Linked DNA regions of Schizosaccharomyces pombe. The gene in region 3 interacts genetically with the main gene of each other region. Each region holds a gene or a part of one and is shown on either strand. Other genes may lie near its edges.

Region 1 (5,529 bases), 1.9 Mb from region 3:
GCTACACACTAGCAATGGCTCTAACATATTAACATCTCTTACTACACTATGGTTCACTGGTTTTAACCTTACAACAAGCTCTAACCCAACTGTAACTTATAACCTTACAATGGCTCTAACCTGACAGTAGCTTGTAACCTAATAGCGGCTCGTGAACCTACCATAACTAGTGTGCTTTGTTACAAATCGGTGAATAAAGTAATTTTACTATTACCGTTTAGGAACATACTCATACAACTGCTCTTCGGCGTTAATATTGCGGTCCGACACGTTGGTTAATAAAACTATCTCCTCCGGGATTTCCTTGCTGTAGCCATTACGATATGCGACGTTGATTCACAAGATGTTGCATTATAGCATCCTGACTTGAACCACCTGCAAAAATTTTTTTCATTCTTAGGCGTTTGTTTATTTACTCACCACCCACAGGTGATAATTTGCTATTCACGTTGCACTGCTTTACTTACCGAACGGATCAATTCCACATAGCGAGAGATATCGTAAACGGCAAACAATGTCTGAATTTTCATATGAGTTATTCCACATTGTCAGCTCTATCTACTTTGATGGATCACAAGTTTTCCCGGATTTTAGGGTTGCTCAATAAGCTAACATCGGTTTCGGCCCATGAATGATGTCCAGCGCATGGTTTCTCGTTTGTGTCGCAACACCTAGTCCTGAAGTAGCTGAGTGAGTGTATAAGGTACAGAAATGAAATGAAGTCGTGAGATGAATACACAATCATGAGACATACTTGGCGCCACGTTGAGTAATTGAAATGATTGAACCTTTTTTGACGGTTGGTTGAGCAGATTGATTATTGAGGTTTTATTTATTAGGATTCATTATGTAGCGCACAGGATCAAATACTAGGTTGTGCAATACTACTCGACATTGCCTCAATTCATTACTTTCGCTAGCCAAAAAAACAATACGGGCTAATTGGAAGTTAAACGTGCCATAAATTTCGTCCTTGTTGAAATACTGACGTTTTCAAAGTTACGCATAGCTTGTCTTTGATTCCTTATATACAACATTGTGCAGTTTCTGTTGAATGTAGTGAAACCAAGCGATGAATAAGCTCAAAACATGAAAATTTTTCGTTTCATTTTTTTTTGACAGGACCGTATCAGTGTCGCAGTAAAATGGGATCCTAAGTATGCAAAAACAAGCAGTTAGTTAGACAATTTATGGTTGCGTATTGCTGCTACCTTCGCAATCGGCACAATATTCAAGCAATTTGAAAGCGACTGAATGCCCGAATTTCATTGGCTATATGATGAAAAGCGAAAATCCTACTTTGACGAACTATAAAGTATAATATTCAGCGGCAATGTTGTATTAAACAGTAGAAAGGTTTATTAAAGGTTTATTAAATGTTTATTTACTCAATTGATCATTGTTGAAATTTGCTTTTGAAAATCATTGGCGTAGATTCTCGTGTCGATGAAATGTATCCCTAACAAACGCAAAAACGTTTTTTCAATGCCTAGAAATTGAAGTCGTTGAACTACTACTACAGCAAAATGCCAAATCTGTTTACTTAACTGATTAAAAGTGAAACGATACTGAATACTTTTGATTTTTCAAATAAATTTGGTAGCATATGATCGGTTTCTTGTTCTTTTTCTTTAAAAATTGGAAATCTAAATGCAAACGAAGTAATATTAATAGTGGTAAAAATATTAATAGGTATGGAACTTGCTATTTTATAAGGCTGCTTTATTACTTGAATCCATCAAACTTCTCACTTCACTGAACAGTTTTGCCATGCTCTCACGAAAACTCCTAAATTACCAAACCTGTTTTTTATATAAACACGCGAATTGCTGGATTTGGATCCTATCAGCTTCAAGTACTTAATTCATCAGCGTTCAAACCCTCTTGTATTAACAGTCTACCATTTTTATTCATCAAATATTTCTCGCTTTATTTCCATATATTATGTTATGAATATTTATCGATTGTCAGCGATATATAACGTAGTAAATTCTTAGTGTATACACTTACCGTAAACACAACAAAACTCTTTCTCAGCAGTCAATCTTCGTACCGTCCATTTCTAGTGTGTTTATCTTGGTATTGTATCCTTTATTGTTTGTGAAGGAATTTTCCAGTATTGGAATTGGAATGATACCTCAAGAAAGGTATACTCTGCTAGGGTAGGATCAATTACATACATTGTGTGTATAGGTATCTGTTTTCACATAAAAAAGGCGTCAACGATAATTCGTCTGTTATTAATAATTTATACATTCGCATAAAGCGATCAAAAAGGCATTCAATTACAGAATCCTACTTAAGCTTCACTTTTTTGAATACGAACACTAATTCAAATTCTCGCCTTCCAATACTCTCTTTTCAATTTTTGTCTCTCTTTTTACATATTTATTTATCACTGATTCGTTTGTATATTTTTCTTTTAATTTTCAAATAGCCTTTTATACATCAATGTTTACTAATACACCGGTTGGAGGGAAAAGAGAGCGTCAAAATGGCGCTCATCCAGCTTGGTCGACGTTAGGAGCGAACTCTGCTCAGATTCATCAAAATACGGCTGATTTGGCCTCCAAAATGCATAAACTTCGCTATACAAAGATAAGGTCCCCTCCTACCAGGGTGTCCATTGAATCAATTACTCCTAAACAAAGATTTCCAGCTCCCAATTTCGAACAGGCTTACCACTCTAATATTCGATACGAGCAAGAGGAATCTGATAACGAAGAATTTGAAAACGTAGTGAAAAATGGACACGAAGCTTCGACGAATGTATTCTATGAATCAGATGGAGATGATGAAGAGTTTGTCAATGAAGAATACGAAAACAGCATCGACGAGGAAAGTGATGATGAAGGGTATAGCTTGAACGAGGATACCACCGCAACAAATGCCAGTTTTAGGTACCCGATGAATCAAAGATCTACAAGGAAATCTCAATTTTATTCCTCAAAATTTAAACCATTACTTTGGTTCGGTATCACTCTCTTTTCGACTCTCCTAATAATTACTCTACTTCACAAGGGTCAAGAATTTTACTCAAGATCATTTTCATCAGATAATTCCCAACCATCTAATTCGCCCGTACCAAACATTCCTCCTGCATCCAATGACACCAAAACAAGTTTAAAGCCAGATATTATTAAAGACTTCACAGATTCACCTTCTAAAGTTGGCGGCAATGAGGAATTCGATTATTCGACGGGAGATTTAATTACAAAAAAGGAATTTGACAAGATTTTACAACAAAAAGTAGAGCAATTAAAACAGTCGCTAAAGGAGGAGATGTCTAATTACAAATCATCGGTCCCATTTGAAGTTGAACTAAATGACGATTGGAAGTTCTTCATCGAATCTACGGTTCGAAAATACTTGACCGATCCGGTTTCCATGCCGAATTTTGCATTGCTCTCAACAGGAGCGGAAGTACTACCTGCCTTAACCTCAAAACGCTATGTGAGACGACCATCTGCATTCATACCACGATTTACCTCCTATTTCTTTGATTCGCTCGTTGTTAGAGGACACGAACCTAGCATAGCATTAACTCCCAACAACGCAGTTGCGATGTGTTGGAGCTTTCAAGGTTCAGAGGGACAATTAGGAATTTCCCTATCACGCCCTGTATATGTAACCAATGTCACAATAGAGCACGTTCAGCACAAGATTGCTCATGATCTTTCTAGCGCTCCCAAGGACTTTGAGTTGTGGGTTCAGGGAATGTCCAGCAAGATGTTTGTATTGTTGGGAAAGGCGAGATATTCTTTAACGGAAGACTCTATTCAAACTTTTTCGTTTGAATCCTCCAATTATATTGTCGCTGAACCGATACAGAATGTGATCTTAAAAATAAAAAGCAACTGGGGAAATCCCAATTACACATGCTTGTATCAAGTTCGAGTTCATGGGACTGTACCCAATGCAGACGAACAACCAATACCTTCTTTAGGTGAGAAAGCCGAAAGTACTGCAGAGAATACGGGTCAAGATTCATCTTAAAGACCTACAAAATGTAAGATATAAAAATAATCTAGCCTGGAATGGTTTGAAGATCATAAAAGAGCGATTCTCTTTTTCGATTTTCCTCATCTGCTTCCTCGAGCATCAATATCTTTCCCACTGTTTCTGGAGGATTTAAATTGAAGTTTTTTGCACGTTTCCAGCGTTGCATCCTTGTCATACCAAGATATGGTCCATATCTTGCCGTAGTGTCAAAGTGATGCAAAATGAACTCTACTTTGGTTATATTTTCACAATGTATTGGTTCACTAATCCTTTCAGCCATAATTTGATTCCAAGCCTCTTCTACCTCTTTTGAAAGCTCATCGTCTTCTTTAATTCTCTCATCCAAGGTTTTGGTTGTAATTGTAACATCGGGTGTAGGCGACTGTTCAGAACTCACTTTCTTCCCTATGTGGGATTGACTTGAATTACTTCGAACTACATGTGGAAACACGTCGCGAATATTAGTGTTTTGCCCTGATTTTTTCGCTTGAGTAGTGCGCTTCTTCATACTGCGTGATATAATTCTGTAACACTGCGGTACTAGAATGAAAGGTGCACTATAAATCCAATTCTTTTTCGTGTTTACTCAATTTAGAGCATTAGTTTGTTTGGCCAAAAGAAATCTCTGAAAAAGTACATTTGGTTGCAAGTGTACTTTTAATATGTATATATAACTTTAGATGACTACTATAGCGATGTTTAAAATGCGTCACGCTGACGAGAAAATAAGTATCCAGCCATCCGCTCGTTCTTTATCGTTATACATATATCAGCCTTCATATATATTATTATTCATTTAGGTCCAAGTATTTAAGTGCATTATTGATAATTATTAAAATAGAAACTTCTTGACGACCCCTATTTCGGTATTTCTAGTTCGTTGTTGGAGCAAACAAGAAGTAAACAATACTCGTTATTAGTTCAGATAGTATTGTGGAAATTTCATAATTAGATACAAGTATTTTAGCAATACGTGTTGTCTTAATCCAGCCTTGGTCATGCAATTGAATCACTTGCCAGCCTTCCTAACATATCTTTAATACGTTTCTAAAAAGGGTTTTGGTCTTTACCGATTTAAAATAGGCAATTTCGTAAATGCAAATAGATATACTTATTAACATTTTCAAAATTTAAAAAATTTATAGTTAAATAGCTTTGAGTATTGCAAAATTTGTCTTTTGTGCTTTGCTAAAACAGCGTAACTTTTTACACTGCAATTGAAGCACAAAGACAGTTGAAACTTCAATTCCCTTACAGCTTTTAGTAATTTAAGTATCTAGTTTCATTAAGTTGTCTTTTTTTAAGGGCTTTTAAACTGTTAGTTATACAGTGGTAAACAAACTGACCGGGCTTTCTCAATGATTAAACTGCACTATCATTAAATACAGTGTAGTCAACCAAATTGTTATATTTTTTAATGCAGTCGATAAATTTACATAATGCTTTCAAACGTGAAAGACATCCTTCGTAAATCAAAATTATTGAATTTGTTAATTGTCCCTATGCTGCAAATAGTGCACAGGTAGT
Region 2 (4,385 bases), 200 kb from region 3:
AGATGAGAGGTCTCTTCTAAAATGGCTTCTTCTAAATGCTTTTTCGGAAACCAGAAAACACTCGGCTCAATAGAGCCGGCATACTCTAACATACTCTGGGAATCGGGTGTCGGCCATAATGGATCAAGTAACCTCTCTGGCTTAGTACCGCCTCTTTCTTCACTTACAAATTTGATTTCAGAATTCTTTTTCACAGACTTTGACATGAAAAACGGGTGCATGGATGTGACAGTATTTCGCAGATTACTAGGTGAATCTGCTAAGTTTGAATAATGTAACTCGGAAACAAGGGGGGAAGAATTAACTGTTTCCTGTGAATTAATATTCTCAACTAAAATATTAGTATCTGATGCTTCTCCCGACGACTTAGCAGGCGGAAAGGCAGTTGAGTTGGTATCATTGCTGAGTTTTGGGTGTAATATATTCTCAATTTTTTGACCCAAGGAAGTCGATACTTTAAGCGTTACTAGTAAAGATTGATCATTTTCAAAGTCTTTGCTTTCCTCCATATCCATATCAAAGAATTTCCTCATGTAGCTACGTTCCTTATGAAGTGATCGGCTTCTTCGAGGTTTACGAGACCCTGACAAAGGAGATTTGCCAAAATATTTATTTTCAGATGTGGCAGGGACTGGTGACATTGTGTGTCTCCTCCCAATAGGCTTTTCTTCTTTTGCTTCATTTTCGGATTTTAAATCAGGATTACTCTGCGAATCTGCAGACAAATAGCCTACAATTTGCATAGGGATCTTCAATCACCGCATAAGTTCAATAAAAGTCCTAGTTTGAATGATTTTTAGAAATAGTTTCACAGGTTTCTCAGCTTTCAACAGTTTGGTTAAGGAGAGGTAGACAAAGACTCCGTGTACTAGTGAACGAGTATTGGGAATTCGATAAGCTTATAGTTTAGATTTATTTATTTTTAAGTATGTTTTAGATTACTGAAATTCCTAAATAAAATATCGTTGCACCATTGAAGCAACACGATCCTCCATATTATCATTGTTATGTGTAAGCTGTCAGTAATTGAATAGAGAAGTAGGAGATATAATCGTCACAGTTAAGCTTTTTCATCTCTTTTAAAAACGACTTACCAACTTTTAATGTGAGTTTGCTTATTCCATGCAAAGAAAACCGAGTTCAATAGCTATTAATCCATAGCCTAACATAATCAGTGAAATAGTCAAAAGAAAAATTTGATACTAATATACTTTTTAGAAAATTTTAAAGAATTTGTATAATTACTATTTCTACTACCGCCAATTAGTCGGAACGCTGACTAACTTTTTGTGCATCGTTGTAAAATAAAGGAGAGCAGAATTTCACTTGTTTATGATTGTAGTAAATTTTCTAAGTTAAGTAGTCTATTTACTTCAATTAAGTAAATCTAGATTCAAGAAACGGATCACATTTGTTTATCTGTTTATTTATTTGTTTGTTTTTTAAAAAAAGGTAAGTGTAAAGCTTTCCTTCCACTTTAACTCAATCAGTAAAAAATAATTTATTTTGAAGATGATTTTGCTAACAATTTTATACATTTCGTACTGCAACATTTTGCTAAAATATCCTGTTTATGTTTTGACTTGCACTTTGTTTACTTTTTTAAGGCAACTTCTATAACGTATTGTTCTGCATTACATTACAAAAATAAGAAAATCGCACAAGTTATCGTTAACAAACCTGCCTTTATACTAATTCTGTTTAACCAAAGCACATGTCAATAAACAATCAAAATGGATGAATACATCCCTTTTGACGATATTGTGCGCCAATACGACCCAGATTATACAGGAAAAGTAATTTCTCATTACTTGAAAAATAGTTTCTAATTTTCGACAGGTTTCCATTCAAGCATTTTTAGAAATTGTCGACGATGTTGACGCATTGCGACTTAATCCAGAGGCCCCTTTGCTTGATAATGAGCAAAGACAATCGGCCCAAGATTTTATAAAAGATAACAGTGAGATTGTAGTGTCTACGAGTGAAATTAAGAATTTGTTTTATGAGTTAACTGGTCTTGACCCTGATACCCTTCCTGTAAACAAATTAGCTTTGCGCGAGAATGGGGTATTACCAAGAAAAAGTGTAGCGAAGCCTCAAAAAATATCAGAAAATCGAATAAAGAGAAAAGATATGTTTTATCAAGACGCAAGTTACATAACACCAAGAAAAGGATCACCTTTGAGTCATTCAACCCCTTTGTCAATGTTTCGAACTAAAAATGAATATGGATCAAATAAAGGATTTTCTCATATAAACAAGGAAAATGCTGATGATTCTTTAATTCAACAGCTTTATGAAAGGATAGAGCTTCAAGCGGCAGAATTACGTTCTAAAGACGAGCAAGTTAAAGAACTAAACGCGCGAAATGCAAAATTATTGGAGGAATTGGATTCTTCGGAAGAAGCTTGCAAGTCTTGTTATACCCAAGCGAAAACCTGGGAGAAAAAATTTCGTGAAGCTCTTCGTGATTCTAAGGAGTATGCAGCTCAATTACAAACCATTCATGAAGAGTATGAGCAACAGCAAGCCCATATTGTGAGAATGGAAGAGCTAATCCATGCTGTAGAAAAGGAAAGGAAAACGGTATGATTTTTAAGAATATGCCTTATTCGAGGTAGAGACAAGCCAGTTTACTAATTTGTTTAATAGGAAACAGATTACATGAAGAAAGAATCTTTGTCGGAACAAAAAGAAAGAGGCGCTTTTATGGAGTCAAACATGATTTTAGAAGAAAAGGTTGCACATCTTCAGTTGGAAAACGAGCAGTTGAGACTATTTTTTAAGGAAAAGGCGCCTCAACCCTTCCAAAATCACCCTCCGTATCAAAATCTAAAAATTACTTTTCCCAGCCCTTTCTTTCACATCCCTTACATCCCTAAAACGGAGACTTTGAACGATTCCCAATTTGCCGCTGGTCTCTCTTTACTGGCATCAGAACTTGAAAGTCAAAAAAATCTGTTAAAGAAGTTCGAAAACTTAAAAAAGAAGTCTTCCAAAGATTTTTTATCTCCCTCCACCATACTCTCTAATGCTTTTTCCAAAGTTTCACTCCCCAATTCTTTAATTTTGCGTGTCTTATTTTTTTCATTGTTGTTCATCATCGGAATTCATATTTTTTATTTTTTGTTTTTTCATGTTGCAACAATTCAACAATGGCCTTTTCTTTTTTGGTTACCATCTACAAAATTCGACAATCGTTGGTCTCCGACATGAATCTTAGATTCAAGTTTAATCCAATTTTTATTTTCAAAGCACGGATTCCAAACTTAATTGCTATAATTGAACATTGATTCAAGATTTATGTATATTGGAATAATTGATGTATTTATGGGGCTCTGCTCAATTCAAGACGATCTGTATCTTCTAACTCTTCGCCTGATAGGCAACGGACAAGAAGTTTACATTGAGCTAATAATTAGTCGCATCTCATCTGCGTTTGGTTTTAGGTGTGTCATATGAAAAAGGGTTAAAGCGACGTTTTTCGTTTTTATGTTTGAATTAAGATATTTTCTCTGAGACGAAATATTTTTAGTGTTTATCATTCTTTTCTTGTCTAATCTTCTACTCGCCACTCATTTTTCTGTTCTCTATTTTTTCTTTTTGGATGAATGTCGTTTCTTCTAATAACTTCTTTCTTTCTTTAATCTTCAAGGATAGCCCAAGTCCTATTAAACTCGGATACTATCTTTCTCATAATTTCTCTTTTATAACTAGAAAACTTTTTCACGAATTAATTATTTATTATGCACTTTTAATATTAAATGAAAAGTATTGAATTAAAAAAGGAAAAAACCATCCATTTTTCATATCATGTAAACATTTAGTTTTTTTTCCATACAATAAATCAATTTTTACAGTTACGTTATCATATATAGTGAGATGTACCGTTATTTTGTGAGCGCAAAATAGCTAAGAAAATGAGAGAAAACGTAACCATCCCTGCAATCTACCAAATGGTATGTAAATAGTGAAAGGGAGAAAAAACTCATAAGGTTGAAGTATTTATTATTCATTTAATCAGAATCTCATAATACTATCTCAGAGGGCTTTATTCGTGAGGTTTGAAGAAATTGACCCTTAAATTCTTATAAAAAGGAAACATCTACATACAAAAAGCAGATATTTTCAAAATTCAATCGCTATGGAGAATCACAGGAGTGTATTCTCAAATGTGATAGGTGATATTGTTGAAAAACCGCCGAAGCAACTTGTTGAAGTGAAGAGGTCAGTTCAGCGGCATGCTAGGGGATTTCCAGCCGTTTCACGAACATTGCCGAAACGAGAATCGAAATCAATGAGTGCTTATAAGGAGAAGATGCTTCGAAAGAATAAGGAATCTCCGGGTTTGGAAGGAAAAGGGAATTTGGATGATCAAGGTATTG
Region 3 (2,644 bases):
ATAGAACTAAAGAACGAAGTTTCAGTTGGAAATGATTTTGCAGTCTTTTTGTTTTATATAAATTTATATTATATAATAGCAATGCCTACTCTCTGTGAAATGGAATTATAAATGATAATGTAATACAAAATGAATACTATTGTGTAAAGATGTGCAAACATTGTACGAGCTGCTACATAATATTGCATAATAAAGATATTTTTACATGTATATCACTAATAAGAAGTTGGGCATTGAAGAGTATTAGTCTGCTATCTTTGCAAATTGCTTCTAATATGTATATAAATAGCTTGGGAGAAAATTATTATTAATATTTAGTCTTTAGTAAGATCCAACAATTTAATTTATTAGAGCTACTTGTTTCATGCCGTTCTTAAATGTCCAGAAAAAAGATTTATTCATTCCAATAGAATAAATTAATATAATAAACAAGCATTCCCGCTATTCCAGCGTTAATATAATGGGTTTCATATGCATATTCAAAATGTATATAAAGGGTATACTAGCCACATTGTCATGTGCAGCCCTCGCTTAAGTAATAGCTTAAAACAACTGTGGGGTTATTGAAGAAATGAAAATGTTAAAAACGTAAAAGTTGTTTGTTTGTACGGTTGGACCCTCTAAACACTTTTTTCTATTCTGACATTTAATTAATTTTATGATGAAGATTTTTTTTATGTTCAGTAAGTAAAGCGATGCCTTATAACAATATTACAATGGTAATGGTATAAATAAAGATAAAAATTTTATAGCAATTGCAAGAATGAGTACTTTTGAAAACTCGGTTATTGGAGAATCAAGCTGAAGTGGTTGAAGCGAGCTAGTAATAACTCACTTTAAAGCATTTACCAATTGAAGTCTCACAAGCCTTTTGATATTTCGAAAAGGAAGGAATTATGCTAGGCACTCAGCATAAAAAGAACCATTTTATATGATAAAGGGCAAAGGGAAATTAATTTTCTCTCTATAATAGTAAGTATACTGTTGGATATTTATTCCAAAGGAAATATAGGCGGTGAATTCTACTTTTATCTTCTGATCTCTACGCTTTTATTATCAACCGTAAGAGTCTTTCTTTTATAGTAATAACAATCCAGTTAAAAAGGGATAAAAATACTTATCTTCCTTTTTATATATTACTAATCCTAAAAGAGCTTAGAAATAAGCAATTTTTTATTAACTAGTTCTTTATAAAAGCATATTTATAGAGAAAAGCATTTCATGAAATTATGCTATGTACAGCGAAATACGAAAATAAAATACCTCCTTTGACTAGAACTGTAAGCAACAAAGAGTAAACAATAAAAGCTTGTAGTCATTAGCAAATTAGATTTTTTTATCAGTAGTCTCGATATTAGATGAGATATGTTGACATAATCTGTTTGCCAGTTCTTTCTTTAAATGAGTTTTGTTTATAGAACCGTTTATTTCAACTCATCTTCCAATTTTTATTTTAACATATTTTATTAGCAAATGTAATCGTTGGTAAAATTCGCCTACAACGTCAACATTCAGTCAAAAAGCACACCTAACTACTCCCATCTCTATTACTCCCCGTTCATATTTTAACTTTTTAGAAAATGTCTTTGACATCCGTTTTATGGAATTTCGTCGCCAAACTTGCTGTGGACCATGGATTAAATACCAATCCTGATCAAGTCTTTCAAACCGTTGAAAATGTAGGCAAAAGTTTCGAAAAATATGAAACGTCTTTCCTAAAATCATTGTTCAATGGAAATCTAGGATTGAGCTTGCCCTCAGCTATTAATATCTTGACTTTGATTATAGTGTTATACTTCTCTTTGGTCATTGTAAATAAGACTACCAGTATTGCCCTTGCCCTCTTCAAAACACTTGCTGTAATTTCTTTTTTCTTACTAATCGGTTGTCTCTTTGCTTACTGGTTTATCAATAACGGATCTTTTTGAACATTGACTAGCAGCGTTATCTTCTTTGTTTTTTCAGATTACCGAGTACAAAGTGTTATGGATATGCTTTAAAAAATTTTATTTTAGTAATATATTTTTCATCTTTTTTGTTCCTCATTTCATTTATCATTCAAGATGGTTTCGACATTATTCTTGATTTTAGGACTGTATACGAAGAATGGCTAAAGGCCTGTAAAATATTTTTTAAATTAAAAGCATAGTATTGAGTACATTAAACATCTTAACAATTTGCGTTTGCAATATAAAACTTCAATTTCAATTAGTTACAGTTTTCAGAATTTATTTTTTTTTTGCAACAAAAATATTCAATTGACTTATCAGTGATATGAACGGAGTAATTCTATGAAATGTGAATATGAAAAGGAAGCCATCTCAAATAATACTTCTTATTTGCACAGCAGAAATTTGATTATTGCTTGGCTCAAGTACATGGTGAGTATGACATTATTATTGAGAACGACCTGGCATTTACATCCAATGTTTTCCTTCATCAGAGTTACGCAAACGCATAGACTCGATTTGGATGAAACCAGAGGTCCATGTAGGGTCAAATCCACCAAGCTCATCCATAGATGACAATTTCTCGTCATAAAGATGAGCAGTATCAGATTTACGACCGAGGACAGTGACATTGCCCTTGTAGACAGAAAGTTTAACTACACCGTTTACTACCTCTTGAGAAACGTTGTTAGCTG

Evidence for each region.
Region 1: mutations in apq12 (region 3) and sad1 are lethal when combined (synthetic lethality), as found in Schizosaccharomyces pombe (one study listed by BioGRID).
Region 2: mutations in apq12 (region 3) and kms2 are lethal when combined (synthetic lethality), as found in Schizosaccharomyces pombe (one study listed by BioGRID).

Annotation. Positions count from the first base shown.
Region 1 is NC_003423.3:2,301,731-2,307,259, forward strand, and holds sad1 (protein Sad1), read left to right. Parts: upstream 1-2,035; 5' UTR 2,036-2,451; coding exon 2,452-3,996; 3' UTR 3,997-4,027; coding exon of another isoform or gene 4,028-4,510; 3' UTR 4,511-4,931; downstream 4,932-5,529. Other genes in the region: DNA polymerase delta subunit Cdm1, read right to left, coding at 4,028-4,510.
Region 2 is NC_003423.3:646,338-650,722, reverse strand, and holds kms2 (protein Kms2), read left to right. Parts: upstream 1-1,703; 5' UTR 1,704-1,733; coding exon 1,734-1,796; exon of another isoform or gene 1,797-1,839; coding exon 1,840-2,586; exon of another isoform or gene 2,587-2,652; coding exon 2,653-3,216; 3' UTR 3,217-3,787; downstream 3,788-4,385. Other genes in the region: DNA replication factor C complex subunit Elg1, read right to left, coding at 1-743; rba50 (RNA polymerase II-associated protein), read left to right, coding at 4,145-4,385.
Region 3 is NC_003423.3:447,354-449,997, forward strand, and holds apq12 (nuclear membrane organization protein Apq12), read left to right. Parts: upstream 1-1,580; coding exon 1,581-1,928; 3' UTR 1,929-2,045; downstream 2,046-2,644. Other genes in the region: arg12 (argininosuccinate synthase), read right to left, coding at 2,418-2,644. UniProt on the Schizosaccharomyces pombe protein: Involved in the regulation of lipid homeostasis in the endoplasmic reticulum, thereby impacting nuclear pore complex biogenesis and localization, and nucleocytoplasmic mRNA transport.